Linked DNA regions of Lonchura striata. The protein of the gene in region 1 interacts with the protein of each later gene in a pairwise test. Links are inferred from orthologs where the notes say so. Each region holds a gene or a part of one and is shown on either strand. Other genes may lie near its edges.

Region 1 (7,711 bases):
ACTTGTCTTTTTCTGCCTGGAGAATTCTTTTCCCAGAATTGGGAGAATTAATTGGGAGAATTCTTTCTCCCAATTAATTTTTTCTCCCTGTTTTTCTCTCTTGCTTTTTCTTTGGTTTATTTTTCCTCAACCTCTTTCTCTGATGCTAAAAAAAAGGATGAAAGGTGAAAACCTACAGGAACCAGCATAGTCAGACTCTTGTTTTTTACTGCCTTTTTCCTGTCCAGCACTGCCTTTTAATTTGTGGGAGATAACAGCAGGGGAGATAATTTCATGCTGTATATATTGCTGACATGTGGAATCAGGAAAACCAGTTGCACTCCTGACTTCCTTTGAGAGTGGCTCCCTCAGCCAGGAAACAATTCCTTTAATGAAGCAGCCATGCAGTACCAGGGCAGCCCAGCAGCCTTTGTTGTGATATTCAAATCTTGTATGCATGGCAGTATTTTTTACCAGCTCTACTCCTAATCTTGCTACATTTATCAGTGTGTTGAATTTTCAGTGTTAAAGCATCACAGTAAAAAATAGCTCAATATTTTTCATTTATTTGAAAAAGTCCTATTTTTGTCACAACTGTCTTATTTTAAATGTAAATATCCCAGATTTGGTTTTCTTAACTAAAGGAGGAGGTATAATATAGAAGATACAACAATTAAAACTATGTAAAATACACTTTCATGTCTCTGAATGTTTGTTTATTCTTTCAGCTGTTCTCACTTTAAATTCCCCAAATCAAGACATGAAGCAAATGAAAGGCTTTGGCTATTCTGCCTTTCACATCATTAAAATATGGTGCTGTTCTCAGGATAAGCTTTGTTGCTGTCTGATAAATATTCATAAAATGAATGCAACTCAGCAGAGTTCTGTAATCTCACAAAGTACTTCTAAAAAAATCTTATCAGCTCTGCTAAAATTGCCTTTACTTTTATATAATTTTCTTAGCTAAAAAAAAAACCCAAAACCAATAGGAAGAGTTAAGCATTATATTTTTATATATTACAGGCACAGGATTATTAGAAACTTCTAGGATTGCGGTTTGTTATTCTGTGTGATAGGACTAATGTTGCAGAAGCTGATAGGTAGTGTAGCAACACCAAAAAATTAAGGAGCAGTGCAGAATCTCATAAGGACTACAAGTCTGTGCTGTGCCTCAGGGAGACTTACATGATGTGAAGGGCTGTTTGGTTTAGGTGGGATGGGTATACTGTACATAAAGCAAATACAAATATTAGAATTCAACTAAAATATAAGGTAGACATTTTCAAGATACTCATTCTTGAACGCTTTATTTTAAAGCACAAAAAAACCCATAAACCATGAGAGTAACTAATGATAGTAGTGATCCTGGCATTGAGTCTTGAAGTTGAGCTGTAGTGACTTAGCCTGTGCATGTTTGATCACTTTCAAAAACAGTTTTTCCACTGGCACGGTTCTCTCAGTACACACTTGTCTGCATACCAGCTCCTGCTGTCATCAGATCAGGGGTTTTTATCAGGTTGCACATTTGTACCTGCATTGATTATAAGTTTGGCATTTGAATGACTCTTTTTACCAGACCTGTTTAATACCAGAGATAGTCTAAGGACCAAATGCATTTGTAGGTGGGATGAAATTATGGAACAGGAGAGCAGCTTGTAGCGCTGTTCAGTGAACGATCACAGAAGTACACTTCACACAAACATAACTATTGATTCTTGTCCTCCAGTTCACTGAGGGTGGAAAAAAGAATATTTTCAGTTGGAGTATTTTGGGGAGTGGTCATTATTGTGTTATTTTCCAGCTCTCTTGAGCAAACCAGAAATTTTATCTCCAAGGTCATCCCAGACCCACAGCTGTTTTCAAGCTAGTCTGCCTACTCAAGAGTCTTTTGGAGACCTCAGGAAGACTCTTTGAGTTGAAATAGGACTTTTGTTTCACGTTGATAGCTGTTAAGTCTAAACTATGTTTTGACCACCATGCAAATACAGCCTGGTAAGCCAGGTAACAGGTAACTGCGTCCCTGGGCATTTTTGTATTTCTCCCACAGAGGCCAGATAAAATGTTTTACCCTGTTTTCCACCCCGTTGCACGCCCTAGTCGGGAAGATAAACCCAGCTGGGTTTTGTCTCCTGCCTCCGCAGGTGATGGGGAAATCGCTGGAGGGAGGTTCCTGGGCTGACTCAGAGCTTCCAAGCACGGCTCCGAAGGGTGGTACTGGCACCCTCCTCAGCGCTACCCCCGGGGAGCGAGGTCCACCAGGCCTTCCTGTCCCGCTGCTGCTGCGCGGAGGCTGCCGGCGCCTCGGTACCCGCGGGGAGGGCAGCGCAGAGCGGCTGGGCCGCCCGACGCCCGCCGGGGCCGCGGCTCAAGCGGCCGCGAGCCGCGGCTGTAACGGCAGCGCCGGGGCCTTGAGGCGGGGCGCTGCCGCGGCAGGAGCACGCCCGGCCGCCCCGTCGCAGCGACCCCGTGAGAGCACTCGGGGACTGCGGGGAGAGGGATTTGAGAAAGGGGAAGGCAGCGGAGGGGCGCTGGGGCGTGGAAGGGCCGCTCCGTCGCGCTCAGCGCCGCCGGCGGTCTGTGCCGGCCCCGCCCGTTCTAGGCCCGTCCCCGGCTGGTGCGCGTCAGCTGGGCGCGAGGCGGAGCTGAGGAGCACAGCGCGTGCCGCGAACGTGCTGGGGGCCGCGGCGGCTGCGAGGACCGATGGATCCCGAGGGCGCGGTGAGGAGCCCGGCGGGGCCGCGGGGCCGGGCAGCCGCCCCGGAGGGCGGGAGGGCGGGAGGGCGGCGGGGCCGTCCCGCCGGGGCGCCCCGGCTCGCGCCCGCCCGCGCGGCACCGCCATTTTGTGTGCAGCGGCCTCAGGCTGTGGAGAAGCCGCTGGCGGCCCCGGGTGTGCGGGACACGGTGCCGGGGCAGCGGGGTCTGGCTCGGACCTTGCAGCACGCGGGCTGTGGAAGATAGAGGTGTTTAGGGAGAGAAGTGCGCTTAATCACCAGCCCTTCCTGGAGTTAGGTTGTCTGACCGTGGGTGTGTTCAGTGTAAAAATGAATATGGCGGCTCTGCCAACGAACCAGATGCACTAAGTAATCGATTAAAATATTGATAAATGTATATGTCCGTATTATTTGGGGAAATTAATAAAAAATAAGCTTACAGAGCAGTAGAAATAAATATTTAGAAGTAAGTGATGTGCTGATGGCACGTATTTGGTTTTTTTAATACTGTTTTCTTATTGCCACACTGTTGATAAAGAGGTGGTTATCACAATACAAATTTTAACACATAACACTTAAAACCCACTGTGGTTTACAGTATTGTGAGTTCCTGAGTGGTGTGATTAATTCCTCATTTCTTCCATTGAGGTATTTGCATTTCTGCCTTATTTTAATATATCAACTCTTAAAATATGTACAGAGACAATGCAGTTTAGGGTCTTTGAAGTAAGGAGTACGTTTCAGTTGTGCTGCTAATTGTTATAGTTGAATCTGGAAGTTTTTGTGCTAAAGACAGTTGCCAGATCATCGTGCAGTTGGGGTGTTGTATTTGGTGTGAGAGGTAGAGAATGTAACCTGCTTTGTCCCTCAGGAGTTCTTTGCTGCAAAAGCGAGTCCTCCTGGGGAGTGACTGTGTTGGCTCCTTGCCTACTAGAGGTAGGGTTTGTTCAGGTTAGTACTCTAGAGTAGTATTCCCAGGAGGAGAGGTGCATACTAGATTCTCTTGAGCAGACCAGGTTAACAACCTCAGGTTTTCCTCTGTCTGTGTTTCCGTACATTCAGAAAGGACTTGTGTCTTCTCTAAAACTTAAATTGTGTGAACTAAGCTGGATTTATTGTCTTTAAGATATCCACAGTAATGGCATTAACCCATTACTTAGAATTAGTAGGAGTAACTGAAATAATCCTGTTTGAGAAGTTAGTGACAATACTACATGGCTGCGTTCTGGCTATCGTCTACACAGTTAGGATTGACTTTGTAAGGCAGTATTATTTTGTTTTGAAAAGAGTTTACAATTAAACTGTTTCATGATTCGCAAGTGTAAGCATGCTGGAAGTTAAAACATTAGCCAGGCTTCACCAAATAATGGTTTCTATGACATCCCATTGTGTTATATCCTTTTACTGGGGCAAGAGCAATCTGGTTGCTCTTCTGCAGAGGGAATTTCTGTTCAGACCACTGTGTGATGTGTTTGTAGGCCAACAGGGTGTTGAATTAAAATACCAGTCTTCAGGACCTGTTCTCATTGGGTGTGTGGAGCTTGTTGATTTCATGTGGCGGAATTATGGGTGCTCTGCACTTGGAAAATGAACTGGAGGTTGTTGCAGAGAATAGTCGTACAGCTGTGTGTGAGAGTACAGATTGAGTTTAAAATGTCCATTCTATATAGGTTTAAAATAAGGACTTTTAGTAGAGAGATCTATTGTATAATAGAATTTATAACTGAAATTTATGCAGCAGGGTGCTTTGCAAATTGAACCAAGATTGATGTCCAGTTTAGAAGAGGTTTTAACACTGGACTTCAGACCATAGCGTATTCACTAAGTTACTGAATTCATTAAGATTGAGCTTGTGTTTAAACACTGAACTACATTCTGAATAAAAATACATGGTAAATGTTCAGCATCTGCTGTGTCTTCTGAAAAAATCTGTATGTATTGTCTGTTGAGAGTTGTTTCATTTACTGATAAATAACGTGTAAGATTTTGAAAATGTTTTCTTTGAATCATCAGGCCACTGATCAGATGCAAACAGAATCTTTACCTTCATGTCCCAACACTGCGTCACCGGTGAGGTTAAATAATCTGATCAGTTCTCCAAGGTCTGGAACAGTTATTCCAAATCGTGTCTTTGTTGGAGGAATCGATTTTAAGGTATTCTTCCCTCTTTTTGCTGCTAAATTGTAATTTATAACTGTATAAAAATCACCAGGGAAAAAAGAGAGACACAGTCATGTGTATTTGTTTAGTTGGCAAGTCCTCTTCACTTTAATGGCCAAACCTACAGTAGAGAATAAAGCTTTAAGCCTTAATTTGCATAACTGTCCTACAAAGATCACTCTGTACACCTAGCTGCTAGAAGCTTTTGACACTTCTTCAGAGTTTTCTTTTTTCATAGAAGATAGCTTTTGGCATCAGCAGAGCTGATGGCAGAAAAGCATGTAGAACATTTTGTTTATGTCTTCCACTTAGTGTAATTTAATAAACTGTCACAATGTTTCATAGATCCGTGGCTTTTGTTCCTCTAACACTTCTGGTTCACACAATGAATTACAGTGTGTATATTCCTCACCATAGTAATTTTCTTAAACGCAAGAGTTTGTTTTTAAAATAAGTACATAAGCTTCTCTGGGTATTTTGCAGTATTGATCTTAATTCCTAGAATGCTCCTGCCTTTGTATATTCCCTAAAATCTTTAAATAGCAGTGAACATTGCACCAGTCTTACCTTGTTCAGTTGCTTTTGTGATAAGCTTAAGGTTTTTCTCTCTTCCCACCTTAGATAATTAATTAAGGCATTGACTTGCAAAACGTGCTCCGTGCTTCATCTGTGTAGCTGTTGCTTTGTTCCTATCAAGAGCATCTTCCCTGCATTAATCCTCTTAGGCTGAGACCTTTTGAGTACTGACTCACTGGAAGAGGAACAAGAATTGATAATTCACTCAGGCTATTTTGCATAACAAATGCAAGAAATTCCAGAATCTTCTCGTTTATTTGGCTGAGATAATTCAAATAGAGAAGTTCATATTTTAAGATGTACAAGACCTTCAGTATATTTGGACTTTATTAAAGTGGCTTTTTGCACCAATAGTAAACAAATTTCTGGAGCTATGAAATGACCTCTCTTGCTCTCTTCTGTTTTCACTGCAATTTCAAAGGTTAAACTACTTTTCTGTCTAACATCAATATTTTTATTAATTATCATACTTATTGTTTGTTTTGAAGGGTCTCTTGGTTCAGTTGCTGATACTTCAGAATTTATTATGGAATTGTATTTTCAACAGCAGTTTAAGTATGTTTATAATCATAAAGAAGATGGATTTTTTTGCAGAGGGGAGAGGAAATAGAAGGGATGAAACCCTCTATGGCCATTTTAGTTGCGCTTCCATTTGATATGATTCTTTATATCAAATACAGCCTTAAATTTCTGATCTAGTCCTCATAGGGTTTATATGTCAGTCTTGAATTGCTTTCTATTGGCAATCTCATGGGGAAAAGTATTGGGGGTATTTTTTTTTTAAGTCAAAGGTCTTATTCAAGTCACCTGGGGTGATGCAAAAGCTATTGACTTTATTTTTGTGAGAAAGGGAAACAGTTAATCAACAAAAACTTAACTTGCTTTCTAACAAGCTCCTTTATGATTTTGTCTGTCACCATGGCAGTGATTCCTATTTTTAAGAGGAAACACCTGGTCTCTCAAACTTAGAGAAACAATTCAGCAAGGGAAGGTAGAGTTGGGAGCATTTTCATCTTGGTCTGAAGAGCTCTTTCTTTAGTGGTGCAGCCGTGTGTCACTGACAAAGGCTAATGCTAAGCCTTTACTCTCCTTAAAGGATCTGACAAGTGTCTGTGTCTTATCATAAGCAGGAAAAAGCACCTGCATGTATTTCTTATAAGTTTCTAAATATTATGTTTTTACAGATGCTTGCAGATGTCACTGTGCATCTTAGAACAGCATTTCCTTTTATTCTTCAGCAATGCACTGCTCTGCACATAAACCTTTGTCTTTCCAAATTCATAGTTCTGTGTAGCAAGCCCTTATGTCCTTGGGTAACAGCTTGAGCACCGAATGGTTTCAACTTGGATGAGGCACATAAACCTTTGATGTGCTGGAGAGGATTCCCTCCATTTTATACAAACACTCAAAGTCATTAACTTAGAAGTAAAACAGTACTTAGTATACGTGAAGTTAAGGAGAAGTATAGATGAATGGTGTGAGCATATAACTGTGCTTTTCCCGGTGTTAGGTGTAGCATTAACTAAGGGCTATGTAGAACAAAATTTAAAACTCAAATGTGATGCTTACTGCATCATATGTGATATATGCTTACATTGTAAAAAAATACTCATACAAGGAGAGGAGTGTTCCCAACGCTTAGGCGAGTCTTTACATTAGAAAGCTGTTTTATTCTCTGCATACTTGGAGGGGGGCAGTTCCTTCTAAGTTGACTTAGACCACTCTCCACTGAAATAACATTTTCTTACTTAGAGTGGGGAGTTCGTGTAGTGGGCCTGTACATATTTGCAGACTCTCATGTTAAAACCACTTCAGAAAGAGGGATCATGGTATATTCAATGGGTTTGATCACTAAATCACTGTGGTTTGAGGGGATTTATGTGACCTGTGTATATCTACATGCTCTGCTGTGTTGCAGTTGAAAGTATGGCAGTGATTTTTCATACTGTAAACTGCTCTAGCATGTAATTAACATAAACTAAAATTTGGATCTAGTACACCTGCTTCATTGATCTGAACTGTAATAGGACAGTTGTTACATAAATCTACTAATGAGAAGTTTCTAGAATTATTGTTGAATAATTAATGCAGTAATTAAGTGAGCCCTGAGGCTCATACTTGCTTATTCTTCTGTGTTGATATGCAGGGTTATAATTAGTTTGTAGCAAACTTCATCCAAAATACATCCATTAATAGTCTTAAAGTAAATATTGAACTAATTAATTGAATAACTATGCAAACCAACTTTACCATTTTTTTTTCCCCTCTTGATTTACTGTACTAGA
Region 2 (8,004 bases), on another chromosome or scaffold:
GACAATATTTTGCATTAAAAAGATGGAGTATAATGCTATCTTTAGACTGCAATTAAATTTCTGGGGGTGTTGGTAATTAACTTAATGCAAATCAGAGATTTCAGGCAAAGCCCTTTGTTTAGCCCAAAAAGATACAAGCAATTATTGAACAAAACTCACTCTCCTCATCACACGTAAGACGAGGTAGATGGATACAGCCTAATTGCAGGGAAAAGGGACCAGCAATTAACACAGCTATGCTGCTGCTGAGGCACTGTGATGAAACTGTGAGGTTTATAGTATTGTTAATGCTCACTAATGCAATCTTCGGGTTTTGCAACAGGAGTCTTGACTGCAGGCACATCAACCCAGCCTAATTAACTTTAAATTAGATTTAAAAGCATACGATTTTTGCACAAGTTGGTTGGTAGTTGAGATTTTTTTAATTTAAGCATTAAAAAATAAAACAGTATCGACCCACAGGTTTCCTTTCATTTCCTTTCCAAAAAATATACGTTTATCATTACCTTATCTGTCTTAGTGATGCTGGATTATTGGACAGTTTTCCCACCTCACTTCAGGACACAGTGAGGGTAAGCCGCCATGCACTGTCAATGCCAGAGAACAGTAAGCTGCATCAGAAAATAAACATATTTACAGTCACACTTCCCTAGAATGACACAATTCACATCCATCTTTCACTTTAGAACATCTTGGTGAATATACTCCATTTTAAAAGCCCTTGCTTTATCCATAATGTAACAATCAGATTTACACTTTTGAGTATTGTAGAATTTGCATTGATCTAAAAGAAATCTTGAACAAGACTTACAATTTTGTAATAGAAGATTATTTTTTTTAATTTTCTAATGGCATGTAGGAATTCCTAACAGGAATGTATTCCTTTCCAGGACTAAGATCAAGAGATGATTTGGCATACAGAACAGTCCAACAGGGAACACACGTGGCTCCTCCCTCTGACCCCATGGGTGAACCCTCCTGGCAACTCCTCTCTTTCACATGCACAGCCAATTTCAAAAATCCATAATCTGATTTTTAGATGTTTCACTGCTAACCAGAGGAAAAAAGTAGGTTCCCCTCTATTCACATAAAGCTGGGCTTCCCAGCTCTCCTCTTTCAACTCAACTGGAAGCAAACTGGAACATACAGGACGAAGGCAGAGAACAAGCAAACCCCAGAGAAGACACAGAGGTACTCTCTGGTTCTCAAAGGCTGGCAGCTGCTTCCCTCATCCTGAGTATGCAGTGCTCCTCTTTAAAAAGGGTTGTTCCTGTTTCTGACAGTGACAGACTGCTGTGACACGCTAAGCAGGGGAACAGGAAGAGACTACTTTTCTGCTGCCTCACTCATGTTTTATGAAAGGAGTAAGGCATGAGGATAGTGCCCCTTTCACCCCAGAGCTGCTACAGCTCCAGGTACGTTTACTGCACTGGACAAATACAGATAAGGCATGGAAGAGTGGTTGAACCAAAGAGTTCATTTAGCTACCCCCTCACATTGTTTAAGCGTTAGTCTGGCCAGTGGTTTTGCTTCTTCAGCATTACAACATATGCTACTCAGAAACTGCTAACAGTAAGAATTGAACCTCATCTCTATGTCCTAAACATAGACACATTTTGGTGGACACAGCTGAACTCCTGTGGCCTTTCAACAGATTGAATGTATCGTTCATTTCTTTGTGCAAGGAAAGGAGCTACTGTAATGCCTTATTTAGCAGCATTACCCACAGAAACCTGCTATCCATCACTGACTACGAAAAGGTAGCAGAATAAATGCACTTTTTCTTGGTCTAGCTGTTCTCCACTCTGCTTGAAGGTGTCCAGATTTAAAGACACAGATTCTAAACATTGCAGCTGCTTGCAGCTGTTACAGAAAACTGTGTGAAATACTGAAATTGCTGAATTACACAGCACTGAAGCTTCTTCCCTCACTGTGACACAGCTGAATGGATGACTCCATTGAGACGGTTCTATGGAGAACACATCCAGAATGCACACTAATGAGCTTTTTAACAAAATCAGTGTCTACTTTCCTGGGCCGGGGAGGAACCAACCAACCAAAAAACATTTATGTCTCCGTCTTTCAGACTACAGACTGCTTCCCGTAAGAATCACACTGACATCTTTCTAACCTTCCTGGTGTACACTGGCATTTTGCAGGTACAGCCCTTTCCTCCCGGCTCACTTTCCATTCACATCATGCACTGATCTAAGTGCTGCATGGGGACAGGGATTGCCCAACCCGGCCCAGTCACTTCAGGATCCCCTCTGAAAGCGGCATCTCAGGACCATGCTGTATCTCACTACCCTCTTTGCACAGCAGCAAGAAAAACAGCCTTTCCCAGGCGAGGGAAAGACAGGCATTCCTGCCGCAATCTTTTCTGTCAAACAGGGCTAAGCATCAGGGTGCCGCCGACAGGAACACGAGCAAGCAGGACTGCCTCCCAACGCCGCCCGGGACAGAGCCACGACTTCTCCCAGGACAAGCGCGGGGAGCAGAAGGGAGGAGAGCTCTTTTCGGTTTGCTGCCGCTGCCGTACGGGCAGGCCCGGCCCGAAGGGGAGCAGAGATCACAGCCGGTCCCGGCCCGGCAGTGAGGGCCGGCAGCCCCGCAGGAGGGCGGCCGGGCGCCCTCGGCCGCGGGGCCGTGCGGAGCCCGCGACCCGCCCGCCGGGCCCTCAGCCGCGGCCGCCCCGCGCCCTCAGCCGCGGCCGGCGGCACGCCAGGGGTCTCCCGGCCGCTCCGCCAGGGGCCGCGCCGCCCGCCGCCCCGGGAACGGCGGGGCCGGGGAGGGGGCGGCCGGCTGGCCCGGCCCGAGCTGCCCCTCTGTCCCTCCTTCCCGCCGCTCCCGCACGCGGTGCAGCAGCCCCAGCTCTCTTACGGTGGCTTCTCCGCCGTCCCGCCGGTGCAGCCGCCCCGAGCAGCGCCGCGCGAGCCGGCACGGCCGCCGCCGCCCGTACGTGGCAGGGCAGAGAGGAGCGGCCGCAGCGAGGCCGGGCCTGCCCAGCCGCGCCTGCGCGCTGCGCCCGCGGGGCGCCCCGCCCGGCACGGCGGCCGCGCCTGCCTGCCCGGCCGCGCTCCGCCTCAGCGCGTCCGGCCGGATTCCGCCTTGGCCTCCGCAGCCTGGCGGTGCTCGGGGAGGAACGGGGCCGTAAAATTCCCCTGGGCTTGTTAGACGCCCGTACACAGCAGCATTCATCCTCGAATGGTCCCGTCCGGGCACTGGTTACTCCCGCGGCCGCGCGCACCCTCACAGCCTCTCACGCTGCCTTGCGGTCAGAGCTTGTCCCCCTAAGCGCGAAAAAACATGGATCTGCAGCGAGGCTCCTGAGATTTGTCAATGGGAGATGCGGGAATGGATCCCTAAGGGTGCCTCTCCCAGAGCTGCAGGACACTCGTGGATATTTGGGGTTTCTGGTTTAGCCTGTCCCAGAGATGCTGGAAGTGGAGAATACACAGAGATATTTGGGGTTTCTGGTTTAGCCTGTCCCAGAGATGCTGGAAGTGGAGAATACACAGAGATATTTGGGGTTTCTGGTTTAGCCTGTCCCAGAGATGCTGGAAGTGGAGAATACACAGAGATATTTGGGGTTTCTGGTTTAGCCTGTCCCAGAGATGCTGGAAGTGGAGAATACACAGAGATATTTGGGGTTTCTGGTTTAGCCTGTCCCAGAGATGCTGGAAGTGGAGGACACTCGTGGATATTTCTGGTTCAGCCTGTCCCAGAGCCCCTGGCACTGGGGGACACTCAGGGGTAGTTGGGGTTTCTGGTTTAGCCTGTCCCAGAGATGCTGGAAGTGGAGGACACTCTGGGATATTTGGGGTTTCTGCTGCCCGTTCTGGTTTAGCAGCAAGGCCGCGCTGTGCTGGTGCTCACTCAGAGCTACCGAAAGCATGATTGTGCTTCGTTATTTCCTGGTGTTAAAGAGTCCTCTGAAAAGACATCTTTTCCTTTAGTATCTGTTTTCTTCCAGGACAAGAACAATTTAAGAGTTGTTTAATTTTTGTAGTATTTGTCCTTGCTGAGAGCTCTGTCCCTGCCTAGAGCAGGGTCCAACTAGCAGTAAGCAGATTTCAAATTCTCACCTCCATTTTCAATGGAAGCAAGAAAAGATGGACACAATACGAATTTTAATTCTAAACATTTCATGAAGGACGAGGGGCATGTTTCATGAGGCTTCTCTGCTAAATGTTACAAAATATTTAGAAAATATTTGGGTATTTTCAATGAAAAAGTTTTTGCTTTAAAGAATGTGGGAAAAATCTGGAAAAGTGGATGTTTCCATCTGTTATACTTTCTGCCACTTGTGTTGTGTACCTTTGTACTGATGATTCAGTCCTTCTCCAATCCATTTCTTTATCAAAGCAGTGTTTCCAAAGTGTTAACAAGAAACTTTGTGATCCCTAAAGCCCACATATCACAAACAATACCAAAGTTCACTACACTATGAAGATAAATATATTCCACGTGTAGATAAAAGCTGAACTATTGTATTTATTGTTATAATCCTGTAACAATTTAGCATATTACCTGAAAAACATCATTTTAATTTGTTCCATTTCTGAAATTAGGATTCCCTACATGAAAGAAAAAAAAGTCATGAAATACATAATTGGGAGGGGTGGGGGGGGCTTTATGCTGAAAGTGTTTTATATTAAGCAAGAGATGTTCAGTGTTGGCAATAACAACATTTTATTCTCATCTGAAATACTTAGAGACAAGATGCTTCATTATTAAAGGAAGTCAACACTTTCAATTCCGTACTTCAAATTCTTGGATTTTGACCTTGTTTTTTGGGTAATATGGAAACAATATTTTTATTAGTTTTTTTAAAGAGCCGTTCAAAATTAAATAGGATGTTCTTTAGGGAATGCTTTTGTTTGGGGAGAAAAAAATATCAATTATTAGAAAATATTATCGCTCATTTAAGGAGTCATCCTCACAGTGCCTAGCAGTGTTTTATAACACAATCAAGTATCATCCTTCCTAAACCACGTAAATTTCTAAAGGGATATTTCTGAAGGAATTTGGAGGAATTGACAAAAGCAAGCATTATACATTCGATTTATAAATAAAAAATGGATGCCCACAGATATTAAATTGTATAGAGAAAGATTTAATAACTTTGTGTGTGTGTGCTTCTAGGAAGAAAAAGGATTCATTAATGAAAAATATGATTAGCACTATCTTTATAGTGGTAGTGCTCAGGATCACCTGAATGATTGGCTACCTCATGTTAATAAGTAATGAAAAAACCATTCTTGCTTTCCGTTTTGTGTTTTGTGTTTTGAATGCTACCCACGTATAATATTTAGCAATTATGAGACTAATAATTGAGATTTAAAAACAAAATTTGACTTATTTGTTCTACAGCTTGATAGAGGGTGGGAACTTGCTAGAAAGCAGTCATAGGGATTCAGTTTTTTTTCATAAACGGATGCTGCTTTGTCACACATAAAACTCTTCCCCTTGTACAAATAAAGGTGGGATTTTATTTCAAGGTCAACACTGAAAAGACTGTTCTTTCTGGGTGGCTTCTCTTATACCAAATCATATATGAAATGATTTTCAGAAAGAATAGCAGGAAAAAGTTCTTCTGCAATAGTTGTTGGAGAGAGTCCCAGGGAAGTAACAAGAGCTTAATGGCTTGAGGCCTTTCACAGGGACACTGAAAAAAGCCTTCAGGAAAGTTTCTGCCTCTTCTTTCCCCCCACAGCTCTGCTGGATTCTTGGCCTTGTATTCCTATAAATGCATCCTTCCATAGAAGGCATATGAAGTACTTGGAGTAATGGATTCTTCATTATTTTGCCTCTGGCTATTTTCTATAAAACAGCTAATTGGAAATACGTGAAAATCCACCCATCCCCAAACGTTAAGTTGTTTATTGTCAGTTTGACCTACTGAAAACTGAGTGCCTGTACACCAGTGACAATCAGATCTGCAAACTCTGTGCAAAAAGTCCTGAGGTGATCATACCACACTGATGGACAGATTACTCCCAGGATTAAAAACTGAAGGTATGAGCAGGAAACAGAGATCCGTTTATTTAAACACATGAGCCTCCTTTTTTTTTTTGTTTTGTTTTTTTTTCTTTTTTTTTTGACTCAAGATTCTCCTGTTTAATTCTTGAAATGAGAATTTAGAAAACCAGTATAGAAATGTTAAAGCCTTTGTTCCTTTGTCTGAATCTGACTGAAGTGCTGATATGGCACACCACATTTAATGCTTATGGCATCCTCAGCCAGGTTTTATCTTCATCCTATCCAGATGAGAGAAATAATATGATCCTGAGACAGGCTCCTGACACATGCTAACTAATCCACTACAATGTGCATTTATAAATACACTGTGCATTACACATGAGACTTTCTGAGTGTCTTCATAGAAGTGTTTCATCAGTCCTGAAAAGTCCTCCATGTCTTGAAATCCATGCTGTCTTATGAGGCAGAAAATAAGCATACTGGAGCATTGATACACCTCTAAAGAGAGCAGTCATGCCAGAAACAAGGCTCCAGAAAAAGTAGAGAAAATCATTAAAAGTTATATAGGACAGGTAGTTCATACTTTTTTTTTTGAAACATTCTCTGAAAGTGAAACATTCTCTGAATGTTTCCTTTCAGTTTGCAGTGTTGCTGCTAACTGCTGTACTGACTTTAGAATGTGTTCTTTACTTAATAAATAATACATAAAAAATAATATCGGGCACTCATTGCTTTTGGACGTATTCAAAGCTCGGGCTGGGAACCTCTAAATCAGGAATTTAAGTCCATATGTGCGATCACCATAACTAAAAGATTTTTTTACTTAGTTGGCAGAAGCAGATTGTTGAATGCTTGATTACTGTGAAAATTTCTCCTGTGGTGCTGTGCCAGGGACCAAGCTATCACTTCCAGTGTTTTATCAGGTCAACGAGAGCAAGCTCAGGTTATACCCGTAATGTGAGCAGCAACAGGAGATTATTAAACCACGTGGCACTAACCCAGAGACACTGATTCTAATTGCTCTCTGCAGATCTCCTATCTTTACAGCTCTCCCTGAATGCACTCTGCACTGTAAAAGCTGCCCTATGGACAACTTTAAATCTTTCCCCATCGATTACTGACGGGGTAGGAGGAAACGTCCAGGCAGCGGCTGCATGGCTCTGAGCAGCACAGGTACAACAGTGCAGGGCTGAGCGCTGACCACGGAACGTTGCAACAAGAAACGGTGCAGCAGGACAGCCAAAACTGCACCGCCGCAGCTGCACCGCTGCAGCTGCACCACCACAGCTGCACCGCCACAGCTGCACTGCCGCAGGACACCATAAATCACAGGCACGTCCATCAAGAAAATTTGCTGCAATTGGGTTTGTATTGAGTCATTCACACACAAAAAACCAAAACAACCGAACAGTAGCACAAGCCAGCTACTGCCTTACTGCCTAGGAAAAGAGAGAAGTGTTTACACATTGCAATAGCAGGGGATGGCGAGGTCCTGCTGGTGGTGGAGCACTGTGACCCATTCATTTATAAAGCCTAGGACTGAGGGAGTGACCTGAGAAGCTCAGTGTGCATCCCAGACCTGGGTACCCCGGGTTGGTGTTGTCTCTGCCTGGCCAGGGCAGTAACAGAGGCGTCACCGAGTCCCAAGCCGTGTTGTGTGATTTAGCTACTTTTGAAAATAGTATTTGCTAGTCAATAATATTGCACTGTGTTCCAAACTAGCTGATTTTAATTGTTTTCCTCAAACTACACTCAGAACAAAATATTGTAACTTAGTGTAAAATACTTGCAGTTTAAAGTCTTCCCTCTTACCTAGTATTTGAAACAAAAGGGTAATAACCAGACCAGCCATGGACAATCCAAACCAATATATGAAATATAATCCAAAGGCTTTGCATATTTATATTTTATCTGAAATGCCCAGAAAACCAATTGTATCAGTTAGATGAGATGAGACGAGATAAATTTCTTTTTAAAGTTTCTGTTTCTGGTTGCACGTAGGAACAAGAATGTTTTAGTAAG
Region 3 (7,860 bases), on another chromosome or scaffold:
ATTTATAATTAATGTAGACATCAAGCCCCATCTCTGGAATGCCTGTGAGCTTTCATTTATAATTGGGAGGTAAGTCAGGAGCTAGAGGCTTGGCTCTTATCAGTTTCATTTTAATTTTCCTCCTACAGCAAATGAAGCTGGTGCAATTCATCTCTCATTAGGAGGAAGCACAAAACTCCCCTAAAATAACAGTTTTATGGGGAACAGGTAATAAACCCATCTTTGTTCCTCTTCTTGCCTTTGATAATGTTACTGGGGCTCACAGATCCCTCCGAAGTGTTGCTCTTCCTTAAAAATAAGTCCATTAAAAATTAAAACCACTTTCCTATATAATAAAATTTACTCCCTGCAATTATGCAGAGGAAGCAGTTATCGGCCTTCTGTAGATTTTAATTAAAAGTTACAATAGGAAGGAAATAACAACGGCCATAAAATAACAGCAGCCTCTCCCCTACCGATGATTTATTGGTGCCTCTGTGGCTCAGGTGCCTCTCCAAGCGATGCCCGATGCTGGTGAGAGGTGCTGGGGCCAGCAGGCTCCAGAGCAGTGCAGGGAGTCCCTCTTTTCCTCCTGCAGCTGTGGGGGAGTTCCTGCACCCATGGGTGCCCAAATGGGTGCTGAGCTCAGCTCTGACCCATTTGTGCTCTTGTTTCTGCACCCCAGTTAGAGAATGGGGGTGTCCTGCCCACGGTGCCCGGTGCCAGGGGTGGGGTTAGGGTGAGGTTTAGGTTTAGGGTGAGGGTTAACACTGCCCTGCTGATGTGGCTGTGCAGATCCTGGGGTGCAAAAGTCCAGCTCTGTGGGGCTGGGGGGGCACAGCTTCTGCCCATTCAATCCCTCAGGGCACGGGGGTCCCAGCTGAGTTCATCCAGCATCTCCGAGTCCTTCCCTGAGATGTGTGTTGTGGCAGAGTGGGGCTGTGGGAGCTGCATCTGCCTGGCCCAGATATTTTGCAGAGCTCACAGAGAGACCATCAAAGGCGGCTCACACTAAAAATAGCAGGTGCCCAGGCTGGCACAGGGGCTGCTGGTGGGAACGTGGCTCCTCCGTCACCTGCAAACATCTGCTGATGTGGGAAGAGCTGCAGCAGTGCAAAACCTTATTCCATGTCTACAACAGCTCCTCCAGAACGCAAACCTTTGCTTTTGAGGACACCTCTGAATTCAAACATGGGTGTTTGTGGGGTCAGTGCCCCTCGCCCACGCTGGCTGTGGGGTTGAACTTCCCATCTGGCCATAGCTGGGTCACTGCTAATTGAGCTGATGAGAAACAGGTGAGAGCCAAACGCTGGGGCTGGTGCAGCTGCAGTCCCCTCACGTCAGCTTTTTGCTCTCCTGGCTCTGGAGCTGCTGTGGTGTCACATCCCACACCCCACAGCCAGGTCAGCAGCGTGTCTTGGCAATCAAGGTGAATTGAGGCACCTGGAGCCCAGCTGGGCCCCTGCAGCCAGGCTGGGCTGGGGAGCAGTGCTGCCCTGAGCAGGCTGCAGGCAGGGGCACTGCAGCCTGCTCAGCTCCCCGTGGGCTGGTGCTGCCCCGTGCTGTCGTTCCTTTAACCAGTTACGGCCGTCAAGTGTTCCACTTCTGGTCTCCTCATTGCCTTCCCTGGATCCTGGCTGTGAAGGTGCTAAACCCCCCCTGATCTGGCTCTGAAGCGTTTATGAAATCTTTATGGCCTTTTGAAAAGATTTTAATTCCCTGACAGCGCCGCTTTCACTGGGAAAAAAAAAATAAATTATGACTCAATGAGCAATTACAGCTCAACAGCTGCTGAACGGCCACGGCAGCTGCCGGAGCAGCTTGGCACGGCTCAGCGCGGTGGCCGAGGAGCCAGAGCCTTCCTGGGAAGTGGTGCTGGGCCTGACCACCCCACATTCACCTTCCTTGGCTGGCTCAGCCCCTGAGCACAGCCCCTCCTCTGCCCTCTGTCTCCCACGGCCTCTGTACCCAGCAGCTGAGCTCTGCCTGGCGCTGGCCGAGGAAGGAGAGAGCTCCAACTGCACCTGGAGAGATGGGCACTGCAGCCAGCTGGTGCTGTGGGACCCCTGTGGGTGTTGCAGGAAGGAATCCTCCTTCCCTGGGGTCCTGTGGTGATGTTTCCCCCCTCTCAGCCCCCTAAATTATCAGGCTAGCCCACAGGTCCGAGGCTGTGAGGGGAGGAATATCAGGAGATGGCAAAGATTTCCAAAAGAGGCTCTTACTCCTGAAATACTTGGTTCAGCTCTCTTTATTCTGTGATGTCCATAGGGACAGCAGGGCAAAAGAGAACGAACAGGAAATGTCAGGGGTCTGTATAGAATTTGGACAGGGTGGGCTTCCCTGGCTCTCCGCCAACCCTGTCAGGGCAGGAAGGAGGGGTCCAGGGTTATCCTGATCAGAGTCACAGGGTCCTGGGAAAGGGGGCACAGAGTGCCCATGAGCTCACTGTAACACTGTGGTTCCACATTTGGGATTGGCAATGTCTCGAAGCATCACGTCTGGGACAGCTTGTCACACCTACCCATCGCCTGTCCCACTGGAGAGGTGCCACCACAGTGTCCCTGGGCAGTGCCAGCACCTCCCTGTGTGGGGGCATGTCAGAGCTGCCAAAGGATGCAGAGCATTGGTCTAATTGTAAAACTCCCTGTTTGCTGGAAGCAGAGCTGCTGAGCTCCAGAGGCATGAAGAAAGAGGAAGTGTTGCTCTGACAGTGCCCATTCCTTCCTGGCAGTGCCCATTCCCTCCCAGTTCCCTCCCTCCTGGCAGCACCCCATCCTGTTTCCTCAGAGGCTCATTTCTGCTGCTTCAAGTGCACAAAATTGCTGCACAGAATTGAGAACTGGGTCGGGAGAAATTTTGTGAGCAACTACAGTGTGATGGAGGGGCTGGATGTGCTGTGCCTTCTGCTGCTCTGTCCCACGGCACTTCAGGGGGCTGCAGCTGGAGATGACCTTCTCTTTGTTTCGAGTTTTGTCTTCGGCTTTGGAGATATCTGCAGCAAACCAAAATGTTTGAGGGTGACCGTGGTCTTGGCACAAACAGTGTCTTAGGGATGAAGGGCTGCCCTTGGAAGAGGGAAGCCAGAGTTCGCATGGAGGGGAAGGAATGCATCCACACTCCCCAGTGCTGGAATGCTGGGAGCTGTGGGTCAGCCCTCACCTCATCCCTGCACTTCTTGATCCCCACACCTGGCAGGGGAGTACAGTCCCTTTCCTGCATTTTGCTGGAGGCAGGAGGAGGCTGAAAGGCTTAAAGTAAATGAAAAATGTGTGGAGAAGCCCCAGCCCTGCCTCTGCTCCTTGGAGAAGAAGGCTACACCATCATCATCAAGCTCCTGACAGCCAAGGTACAGTAAAGTTTGAGATCCATTAGAGTGCCTGTAATTATTTATAGGGAGGGAAAAAAAAAACCCATCCTACATTGTGAAAATCAGATGGCACAGCAAACAAATGCACTGAGCTTTGGCAAAAGGGCTCTGAAAAGCCAAAGTGATTTATGGTGAGCCAGGACAAGGCTCAGTGGTGCCACACTGCTGCTCCTGGGGACCTGAATCTGACAGCAGCGGGGCAAGGGACTTCTGGTGTGGACAGGTAGGATCTGCTGCTCCTGGGCCACCTGCTTGTGTTGCAGGATCTCCAGACCCAGAAGTAGCTCAAACTGGGACTCCCCGCTCCTGGCTTCTCCCTCCCTGGCAGCTGGTGGCCCTGGAGCCTCCTGCAGGTGTGGGCACCTGTGGGCTCGGAGGGGTTTGGAGCAGCACGTGCTCTGCCCCACTTCTGCAGCCTCCAGCCTCTGCCAGCGGCAGCTCGGGGCCGATCACACCTCTGCCTCTTGGCACCAATTCCGTGTTTTAGTGGAGGCAAAGCAGTGAGCAGGCAATTGCTCTGGCAGACAGGAGTCCCTGGGTACCTGCTCCAGAGGAGAGCTCTCGGCCAGAGCACTTCCCTCCCAGCTGGGCTCCAAAGTTCAATTAGCAGTTTTGGGAAGTGCTTTGAGATCCTCTGCAAAGTGTCCTGGCGGAGGGCAAAATGTGATTATATAACGTGTCTAGACAGCGTATTCCTTGGGGCGGGCAGCAGGATGCTTTTATATCTCCTCTCCTGTGTCAGCACTGTGTGGCCCTGCTGAAAGGTTCTGGGAGCTGCTAAAATATTAACAATGATGACAGCGACAGGCCAGCTCAGACTTTTGCACTTAAAATTGTTGATCTTAGCACAAGGCTAAGCATGGCAGCAGAGGCGCCTTTGCCCGGCGGCACCGTGCGCTCCCGCTGCGCTGACTGAGGAGCAAACAGCATCTCCGGGCAGGCCCCCTCCCTCCATCCCGCCCTCGGTTCCTCTTCAGCCTCTCGGAGGTTCTGCCCGAGGTTCTGTCCCTCCCTGCTGGGCCAGGGTCGGAGAAGGGGTTCTGCCATCCGCAAAGAGCTGCAGCCCCCGGCGATGCCACCTCCGTGGGGAGCCGGGCTGTCTGCTGCCGCTCAGGGTGCGGGACTGGAGACCCTCGTCCTGAGACCTGACCCGCCATTCTCCGGGGCGCTGGTCGCACACGGCATCTCAGTACCCTGAAATTCAGGTGCCCTCCCCACAGCCCCGCGGTGTCACCTCCCTTTGCGCTCCTAGCCGCGCACCTTACCGACCCCCAAAGCCCCTGGGAAGAGCCTGGGGAGTTGCCCTGTGTTCCCCCAGTCCCAGCCCGGGGCAGCCGTGAGCGAGAGCGGGGAGGATGCCCCCGAGCCCCTGCGCCGCTGCGGGATGCAGCTGCGGGATGCAGCACCGGGATGCGCCGCCGCCGTTCCCCCTCCCACTCCGTGCGGGAGCGCGGCGCCGAGGGGGGGTTGGACCGCGGCGGCGCGCGAGCTGCCTTCATCCCCCCCCTTCCTCCTCCTCCTCCTCTTCCTCCTTCTCCTTCTCCTCCTCCTCCCCGAGCGCGCTCGCACGGCCGGGAGCGAGAAGCCGCCGGGAGGATGCTGCAGACGGCGGCGGAGCCGGGCGGCTGGGCAGGTAGGGCGGGCGGGGGCGGCCGGGCTGCCGGTACCGGCGGCCGCGGGGCCGGGCTGCGGACACGGGGAGTTGCAGGCTAAGGAAAGTTGCGGGAGGGGGGAGATGCGCTGGAAGGGCCCCGGGATTCGGGATCGGGGCCGGATGATCGCCCGGGGCAGGCGCCGCTCCCCGCGCTCCATCCCGGCGGCGCCGGGCAGCGGGGCAGGGGCGGCGGGGATGGCGGAACCCCGGCCCCGCTGACCACCCGGAGGGGTCAGGCTCGGAGGGAAACTTCTTGAGCGGAACTTTACCGAGGCCCCGGCGCGGCCCCGCTCCGGCGCGGGGCTGGGGTTCCCACGCCGAGCGGGACCCGCCGGTGCCGGTAACCCCGGCTCGTCCCCGCCGGGTGCGCGCACCGTGGGGTGCAGGCGTGGGTCCCCCACGGGTGTGTGCGGGTCTGGGGTCTGCGGCAGCACCTGGGCGTGAGCGGCGCTGGCCCGGGTATGGGGCTCTGAGCAGCCCTAGCCCGGCTGTGGGGTGAGCAATGTTAGCCCGGGTGTGGGGTGAGCGGTGTTAGCCCGGCTGTGGGGTGAGCGGCGCTGGCCCGGGTGTGGGGCTGAGTGGCGCTGGTTCAGGTGTGGGGTGAGCGGTGTTAGCCCGGGTGTGGGGTGAACAGTGCTGGCCCGGGTTTGGGGTGAGCAGTGCTGGCCCGGGTGTGGGGTGAGCGGCACTGGTTCAGGTGTGGGGTGAGCGGTGTTAGCCCGGGTGTGGGGTGAGCAATGTTGGCCCGGGTGTGGGGTGAGCGGTGTTAGCTCAGGTTTGGGGTGAGCGGTGTTAGCCCGGGTTTGGGGTGCGCAGTGTTAGCCCGGGTGTGGGTGAGCGGCACTGGCCCGGGTGTGGGGTGAGCGGTGTTAGCCCGGGTGTGGGGTGAGCGGTGTTAGCCCGGGTTTGCAGTGCCCGGCCCTGGCCCGGTTTTGCGGTGCCCGGCCCTGGCCCGGGTTTGGGGTGCCCGGCCCTGGCCCGGTTTTGCGGTGCGCGGCCCTGGCCCGGGTTTGGGGTGCCCGGCCCTGGCCCGGTTTTGCGGTGCCCGGCCCTGGCCCGGGTTTGCGGTGCCCGGCCCTGGCCCGGGTTTGCGGTGCGCGGCGTGGCCCCGGTGCGCGGCCCAGGCGGGGCAGGGGGCGGTGGAGCGGTGCTCGGCCCCGCCGGGCCCGGCTGTGCCGCTGCCGTGCCCAGCGCACCCTGCGTGTGCCCCGGCTCCTCGCAGAGCTCCCGGAGCTGCAGCGTCCGTGCCGGGACCGGGACTCGAGGAGCTGAGCTGGGAACGCAGCCGAGGCTCTGGCGGCCTCCACGGGACTCTTGGCTCGGAGGGAAAGGACCTTCAGAGAGCTGCACAAAAGCGCTTTCTGCTGCCTGTGGCTCCGGGTGGGAGCAGCGGGATCCCCTGCTCCAGGCATGTGGAGGCAGAAGCAGATTGACCTGGTTCTCCCCTGGCCATTACCAACAGACTTTGTTGTTAGCTTGGAGCAGCAGCGAGTTATGGTGGAAGCTTTTAGGGAGTTTGCATCGGGGTGGGCAGGGCTGGGGCTTGCTCTGCCCCAGAGCAAACCCCACGGATCCCGGCACAGGGACGTGCCTGTGCCCGCCCCTGGCAGCGCCGTGGCAGGGCGGTGAGTGCCGATCCTGCGGGATGGGCGTGTGGGAAAACAACATCTTGGCACAAGAGGCTGCGATTTGTTTTCGGAGCAAGATTTGAAAGTGCTGCTTAAATAGAAGAGATGATTCTCTGTGGAGGTGAGCAGTCTAGAGCCTGGAATTGCACTCCTGGAGGCTGTTAGGGGCTTCCAGGTTCATTCACAAGTGTGCAGGGATCAGCTCACTGGCATATTGCTGCTAAAGCTGCCCCTGCAAGGACTGGATGTGTCTGTGGGTCCCACAAAGTATGGCAGCACCTTTTCCCCGCAGGGACGAATTTTGGGTGGAAATGTGAGGCAGGAGCTGGCCCTGCCCTGCTCAGTGCTGTGCGCACATTGGCTTCATCCCCTGGTTACCTGGGACCTCTGAGTTGGGAGTGGAGATGTTTGTGAGCTGCTGTGTCTGCATGTGGGGCACGGTGCCTGAAAACAGCACCAATGGGCAGTGTTACTGTGTGTGACAGCCTGTGGATAAATGAGCCTCTGTCCCGGCTGCCAGCCTGGCTGGGAGTTTCTTCAGCCACCACCATCCAAATCCACCACCACTGCCTTTTTTTCCGTGACTGCAGGTGTTTTCCAGTGGAGCATCCAGCCCAGAGGCTTTGCTGAGTGATGTTTGTCACTTGGGTGGAAGGGCTCCGTGGGGATGGAGGAGCCGTGTTGGTCCCTTGGTAGCTGCCAGTGTGATTCTCTGCCATATGCAGAGTTCAGGGCAGGGTGCTTGTTCTTTAATCTGCCACATGCGTTGGAAAAAAAGGCTGGTGTGACCCTGGATGTGGCTCCGGCTGTGAGCCCAGAGCCAGGCTCTGCGTTAGCAGGGCTGTGGCATCATGCCAGGCTGTGACTTCTGCTGCGAGTCTCGTACACGAGCATCCCTGAGCTGGCATCCCTGAGCTCCCGTCCCTGAGCTGGCATCCCTGAGCTCCCACTCCTGAGCTGGCATCCCTGAGCTCGAATCCCTGAGCTCCCACTCCTGAGCTGGCATCCCTGCGCTGGCATCCCTGAGCTCCCGTCCCTGAGCTGGCATCCCTGAGCTGGCACCCCTGAGCTCCCACCCCTGAGCTGCCATCATGCTTGGCCGGGGCTCCAGAGTGGCTGCTCTCGCTTCCCAAGTGCTGCTTAAGTCTGACAGAGCAGCAGGCTCTGTATGGAGAGATCAGGAGGCTGCTGTAACAGTCCCAAGAGTAAGAAATATTTCTGGGGGCTTGTGG
Region 4 (6,141 bases), on another chromosome or scaffold:
ACCCCCCTTCAGGAAAGGGGAAGTCCATGGTGGATACAGCTCTGCCTGACTGTCACTTGCTTTCTGCAGGGGGGCAGAGAAGTGAGTGACTTCATCAGCTACCTGAAGCGGGAGGCAACCAACACTCCTGTGCTGCAGGAGGAAGAGAAATCCAAGAAATCCAAGAAGAAGGTGAAGGAGGATTTGTAAAGTACCTGCTTGCCACCTTGTCAGGAGGAGCTCTATATGAATCGGGGAAACACTGGTCAGATAGGGGCCAGTTCTGGGCTGTGGAGAGCCAGTGGCCATGCGGGCAGAGGAGCCCCAGCTGCTGTATCTAGTAATGTTTAATTTCCTGCCGTCTCTTAGCTGCACTGTTGTGGGGCTCCCCAGGTTTGTTTTGTGGTTTCAGAGGGGTGGGGGTACAGTTATTTTCTAATTTTTTTTGTACATTTGGAGAAGTGAAACAATAAAATGACCCCCTTAAGACCAAATGTCCCTGTCCTGGGGCAACCCATCAGACCTAGCAATGGGTTCCTGTTCTCCATAGGCAGCAGCTTCCTGCTGCAAGTTATTCCCTACAGTGAGCCCTCCTAGCCCCTGCTTTCAGCCCATTATCCTCTTTCTTTAGCTGCCCAAGCCCCTCCAGAATGTAGCAGCAACAGCTATCCCAATGTGTTGGGCTTTGGGTGCTGTATTTACACACATTTTGGACTGGGGAATTGTGGTCACAAATGCCTTTGCTGTGTGCTGCCCTAGCGAGTTCAGAGGTACATGGTGCTCACTGTGACTGTTGGATTGCAGCAGTGCAGGCATATGGAGCAAACTGGCAAGGGCCTTGCTCATCAGCAGCAGAAAATCAGCTTTGAAGCTGGTGCACGAATAGTTTGGTATAAGAGGAGTGTTACTATCTACAGCCTCTACCCAAACACAGGTAGGCCAGGGCCAAGGGTGTTTGTTACAGTCAAGTGCTTGGCTGTGGTGAGAGCGAATACAACCAGTTAACTATTCCTTCTCACGCTGAGAAACAGGCTGGTAGCTGTGGGTCTCTCTTCAGGAGGATAGGAGTAGACCATGTGGTGTGGGCTGTGACTGACCATCTGAGGGTGTTCCGCTTTCCTTTGGGGAAGGGCGGGAAAGAGATGGGCGGACCAGGTAGGAGCTGTTGTCCTGATTCTGTGTTCCTTTACTAAATGCAAGTTGAAGTGAGGGTCAGCACACTCAAAGTATTGCTTCATGGCAGCAGGTAATATGGCAAGAACCAGAGCTTGCTTTCTCTGTGGCTTCCTCCCCCACAGCTCAAAGCCCAGGTGGTGCTGGAGTTTTCCAAATACAGTAGCTCATGCAAGGCTTAGGCTGTACTTCTTTGACTACAGTAACTGCAGTACAATTTCTTTTGCAGCTCCATTAGCATCTCAAACCACATTTCCCTTTTGTGCTCTGCTGCTGTGGTAGCTGCTCTGCCCCTAATGCATGCGGGTGTCTAGGCACCTTTGGAGGAGCATGTGATGTCCAGTGGTCCCTGCACAGACTGGCAGGAGCCCTGCACCTGTCTGTCTGGAGCACTCTTGCAAGGAAAAGGAACACAGCAAGCTCCCCTGACAGCTGGCAATTACCCATGTTACACCAGACTGGAATGCTGCTTCCTTGCTGGGCAGGACAGTGCTCTCCATCAAGCCAAGGAGAGCTAGGGACGTGGTTCTAATCCTGGCTTTGCTCCCTGCTCTGTGACTGTTGACCTGGTGGCAGCTGGGGCACTGAACACAGGTAAAACTCTTCAGCATGTTTGGCCCAGGGCATCACTGCTGGTGCTCAGAGCAGCCTGGGTGAAGTTGGCACAGGCCTAGGGAAACTTTCTGGCAGAAGGGACAGAGGATGAGGAAGGGTTGTGGTGGTGGCTGCCTAGATAACCCTCACTATGCTACAACTGCATTGAAGGAATAAGGTTCAATTGAGGAGAAACAGGCATCTGATGAAGGATTTGTATATTTGATGCCTGGAACACTTGGCAAACAGGGTGGCTACAGACCTTGCTTGCAGTGAGACCTGCATGGAGAGCTGGCCCTGGGTAAGGGGGAAGCCACCACCTAAAGTAACACATTCCCCGAGTTGGCTCAGGCTTTAGCAAAAGATCGGGTCTTTGTTTCTGGTTCTCCCCATGCAGCCATGGCCCTCCACGGAGCTGGGAATGAGCTAGCCCCAGGTGTTTCAGAGCTGGAGCAGTTGGCGCTCCTTCAAAGACAGGTCTGGATGAGCAAGGAAAAAACTGCAGCAACAGTTTGCTTGGGAGGACTCGCTTCTTGCAGAATTAGGCTTTTGCTATGAGACAGCTTTGGATGGAGGCATTCAAAGTGATTCTTACGCTGGTAGCTGGGATAAGCCAGAGACTCGGCCCACAGCCTCGGTACCGGAGACGCCGGGCCGCGGCATTGCCTGGAACGCGCGACAGCAGCGGGCGGGGCGGGCGGCGGGAGCCCCGTGGCGGGGCTCGCCCTGGCCCAGCTATTTTTGCCGCCGACCCGGACTAATCCCCTGAGCTGCTTCCCGGCATTAGGTAACGGCGCGGCGGCATGCGCTCCGCGGTGTCCCCGGCCCGGGCAACCCCCGGCAGTCGCGGCGCGGCGGGACGGGCGGCGACACGCCCGGTGCGGGCTGGGGGCCGTGGGCACCCGCCGCCGAACCCCGCGTGGGCCCGGACCGAGGCCAGCAGGTAGCGGCGGGTGGCGAGGGGGGCCGGGGGCGGACATGCCGGGCCCGTCGCCCGGCGGCTCTCCGGAGAGGGAAACGGGGGCCGGCGAGCGGCCGCGGAGGCCTGGCCGGGACCGGCGGGTGCGGTTCCGGCTGCCTCACACCGCCATCGCGGTGCCGTCGGTGCGCGAGGAGGAGCAGCTCTTCTACCGGCGGCTGGAGGCGCTGGCAGTGCCGGGGCCCGGCGGCTTCGGGCCGCTCTTCGCTTCCGACAGTTGGAGCGACTTGACGGGTGAGTGCCGACGGGCCTCAGGGCCAGCCCAGGCCGGGACCGGACAGAGTGGAGCAAGGAATGCCAATTTCGGGACTCCCGGCTTGGCTCTTAGCGCCTCCTCCCTCGCAGAGGACCGGCTGCTGCGGAAACGCGTGGTGCGGGCCGGGCTGGGCGGGCCGCGGCCGCTGCCGGGCCAAGAGGTGTCCGTGAAGCTGCTGGGCGCCCTGGAGGACGGCGGGCTGGTGGAGCGGGACCCGCGGCTCATCTTCGTGCCGGGTCACGGGGACGTCGTGCAGGTGAGCCCGAACCGGTGCGCGGTTCAGTGCCGTGCGAGCTCAGCGCCGCCGTGGGCCCCGACCCGCCAGCCCCACCGTGCCCGTCCACAGGCTCTGGAGCTGGGCGTCCCCACCATGCAGCCCGGGGAGGTTTCCTTCTTCCTCGCCGCTTTCCCCTACGCCTATGGCCGCCCGGGCAGGTAAGGCGAGCGGGCAGGGGGCGGGAGGGCAGACGGACCGGGGCGGGCAGGCAAGAGGGACGGGCGAGGACAGGACCAGAGCCGGTGGCGCCGGCAGGGCAGGGGTCGCGGGCAGCCGGCGCTGTACCAGCAGGGAGCCCGACGTGCCGCCCGAGGCGCCGCTGCTGTTCGAGGTGACGCTGCTGGAGGTGCGGGACGGCCCCGACCCGCAGCCGCTGCTACCCGCCGTCCGTCTGCGCCTGGGCTCGCAGCGCAGGGAGCGGGGCAACTTCCACTTCGCGCGGGGTGACTTCGCCGCGGCGCTGCGATCGTACCGGCTGTCCCTGCGTGCCCTAGACGGCCCCGCCGCCGGTGAGACCGGACGGAAGGGAGGGCCCGGGGCTGTGGAGCTGGGGCGCTGAGGCCGCAACTCGCCCCGCAGCTCCGCCCGGGCCCGAGGAGGAAGAGGAGCTGCGGGAGCAGCGTGTGAAGTGCCTCAACAACTGCGCGGCTGCCGAGCTGAAGCTGGGGCGGACGGAAGAGGCGCTGGCGGCCTGCGAGGCGGCCCTGCGGATCAGCCCCGACAACGGTCGGGCGTTGGTCCGGCGCGGGCAGGTGGGACTCGCATCGTTCCGCATCGCCCCGCTCCCCTAGGCCCAGTCGTCCAGCTACCGTCCGCTCCTCTCCCCGCAGCTTCTGGCAGAGCAGGGGCGGGACGCAGAGGCGGCGCTCGTCCTGAGGAGAGCCCTGGAGCTGGACCCGGCCAGCAAGGTGTGGGAGGCGGGGTGCGAGGGCGGGCGGTGGTCCTACGGCACCTGGTACTTGAAGCGACGGGGAGGAAGAGGATCCTACAGCATTTGGTGGGTCGGGTGTCCCACCGCAGCCGCACCTCGTCCGTAGGTGATCCACACCGAGCTCTCACGGCTGGCGAAGCGCCAGAGCCCTCCATCCGGTACCGGCCCGCAGAATCCCCGCCACGACCCGATACCGCCGCCGAGCCCCGCGTGCGTAGGCGAATTGGGCTGTGCAGGGACGGATGCCCGTCCCGCACCCTCTTGGCGCGCATAGCGCTTATAGCCGTCCCTCCCTGTAGATCCCCCGCACCGCCCTCGGCGGAAGGAGAGATCTGAGCGGCCCCGCAGCGTCTCAGAGCCTGACCGAAGAGATAGAGGAGTTCTCATACCGTCCTCCCCACATCGCCCCGCACTCCCGCGGGAGGAGAAGAAATCTGCGTGGGGAGGGCTGAGGGAGGGGCGGGACGGCGCCGGCCCCGTCCCGCACCGCCCGCACCGCTCTCCCAGCCTGGCAGCGCTCCCGCACGCCTCGTGACGTCACGGCGGGGGGCGGTCCCCCCGCGCTCCGCATCCTGTCGCGCGGAGGCGGCTGCGGCGCGTGCGCCGAACCTTCCGGCTTTTTCGCCCCCGCCGGCAGCAGGGAGGCCATAGCCCGCGGCCAATCAGGCGGGGCCTTGCCGCAGAGACGCGCCAATGGGAGTGCAGCGGGGGGTGGATCGGCGCAATGATTGGCTGTGGCGTCCCTTAAAGCGCGGGGCGGGGCGGGGCGCGGGGGGGGTCAGTGCGGGACGTGGCGGTGGAGTGGAGGTGGGAGGGAGCGGCGCCATGACCCGTGAGTTGGGGGGAAGGAAGGAAAGGGGGCTGGGGCTGACAGGTGTCGTGGGAGGCTGTTCTGGGACCCGGGAGTGCGGCGGGGCCGGGGTCAGGGGCCACGCCGTGATGCGCCGGCGGGCGGTGGTCGGGCCGGGGTATGGGGGGTGGCCGGTACGCGGGGCCGGGCTGCGCTGAGGTGGCCGCGCTGTGGCAGGCGGGAACCAGCGCGAACTGGCGCGGCAGAAGAACCTGAAGAAGCAGAGCGACTCGGGCAAGGGCAAGCGGCGGGACGACGGGCTCTCGGCTGCCGCCCGCAAGCAGAGGTGAGCGCCGGGCCGGCCCGCCGGCTTCCCCTGCCCCGCTCCCTGCTCCCGCCCCGCGGTGGTGCCGGCCCCGCCGCCAGCCTCGCCGCGCTCCCCGCAGGGACTCGGAGATCATGCAGCAGAAGCAGAAGAAGGCCAACGAGAAGAAGGAGGGCAACAAGTAGCGGGCGGCCGCGCCGGGCTGCCGCCCCAGGGCCGGTCCCGCCGGCAGGATGCCCCGCGCCGCCCCAGGCCGGGTCCCGCCGGGACCTCCGGCATCGCCCCGCGCCCGGTGGCGCCGTCCCCTATTAAAGTAGCTGTGGAGCCCTGCACGCTGCGTCTGCTCGTCCGTGCGCCGGGCGGGGGGTGGGTGAGCACGGCTATTGGCGGAGCAATCGCGGCCGCGGGGAGTCAAGCGGCGGCATCTCGACGGCGAGGAACAAAGGTGGGGTCGGACCTGGGCGGCCCTTGGGGCAGCACCCGGGGATCAGCGGGGGCTGAAGGCCGAGCGCCCCGGGGCGGAGGGAGAGCGGGGAGCCTGGAGCAGCGGAGCTGGACGGCGTGGCGCCGCAGCGGGCCGGGGCGCAGCCGGGGCTCCGGGCCGGCCGGAGGGCGGCGGTGGAGAGATGGCGGCCGGGCCTGCGCACCGGGGGAGGGCCGCGCTGCGGCACGGCCGGGGCGGGCCTAGCCGCAGCTGCCCGGCCGGCGGCGGCGACATCCGGCCCAGTGCCGAGGCCGGTGCCCGTCGGCCTTTTCACCTCCCTGCAGGGCCCTAGCAGTGGCATCAGCCCGATCCGACAGCACAGCGGCGGCTCCCGCGGCAGCCTGGGCTCCTCA

Evidence for each region.
Region 2: the proteins of BOLL (region 1) and TFG interact in binary tests that used the Homo sapiens proteins (3 or more experiments, as listed by UniProt). The two-hybrid records come from large-scale screens. The link is inferred for Lonchura striata from reciprocal best matches to the Homo sapiens genes BOLL and TFG.
Region 3: the proteins of BOLL (region 1) and ZNF385C interact in a two-hybrid assay, tested with the Homo sapiens proteins (2 studies listed by BioGRID). The two-hybrid records come from large-scale screens. The link is inferred for Lonchura striata from reciprocal best matches to the Homo sapiens genes BOLL and ZNF385C.
Region 4: the proteins of BOLL (region 1) and SERF2 interact in a two-hybrid assay, tested with the Homo sapiens proteins (2 studies listed by BioGRID and IntAct). The two-hybrid records come from large-scale screens. The link is inferred for Lonchura striata from reciprocal best matches to the Homo sapiens genes BOLL and SERF2.

Annotation. Positions count from the first base shown.
Region 1 is NC_134610.1:28,184,684-28,192,394, forward strand, and holds the start of BOLL (protein boule-like), read left to right. Parts: upstream 1-4,709; 5' UTR 4,710-4,715; coding exon 4,716-4,844; intron 4,845-7,710; coding exon 7,711-7,711. UniProt on the Homo sapiens protein: Probable RNA-binding protein, which may be required during spermatogenesis. May act by binding to the 3'-UTR of mRNAs and regulating their translation.
Region 2 is NC_134604.1:438,814-446,817, reverse strand, and holds the start of TFG (protein TFG), read right to left. Parts: upstream 3,002-8,004; 5' UTR 2,881-3,001; intron 612-2,880; exon of another isoform or gene 588-611; 5' UTR 507-587; intron 1-506. UniProt on the Homo sapiens protein: Plays a role in the normal dynamic function of the endoplasmic reticulum (ER) and its associated microtubules. Required for secretory cargo traffic from the endoplasmic reticulum to the Golgi apparatus.
Region 3 is NC_134627.1:6,449,626-6,457,485, forward strand, and holds the start of ZNF385C (zinc finger protein 385C), read left to right. Parts: upstream 1-4,854; 5' UTR 4,855-4,942; coding exon 4,943-4,979; intron 4,980-6,648; exon of another isoform or gene 6,649-6,733; coding exon of another isoform or gene 6,734-6,749; intron 6,750-7,860.
Region 4 is NC_134613.1:24,446,469-24,452,609, reverse strand, and holds SERF2 (small EDRK-rich factor 2), read left to right. Parts: upstream 1-4,950; 5' UTR 4,951-5,014; coding exon 5,015-5,021; intron 5,022-5,216; coding exon 5,217-5,325; intron 5,326-5,425; coding exon 5,426-5,489; 3' UTR 5,490-5,636; downstream 5,637-6,141. Other genes in the region: PDIA3 (protein disulfide-isomerase A3), read left to right, coding at 70-189; peptidyl-prolyl cis-trans isomerase FKBP8-like, read left to right, coding at 2,725-2,959, 3,071-3,416, 3,550-3,767, 3,838-4,010, 4,089-4,166, 4,296-4,463. UniProt on the Homo sapiens protein: Positive regulator of amyloid protein aggregation and proteotoxicity. Induces conformational changes in amyloid proteins, such as HTT, driving them into compact formations preceding the formation of aggregates.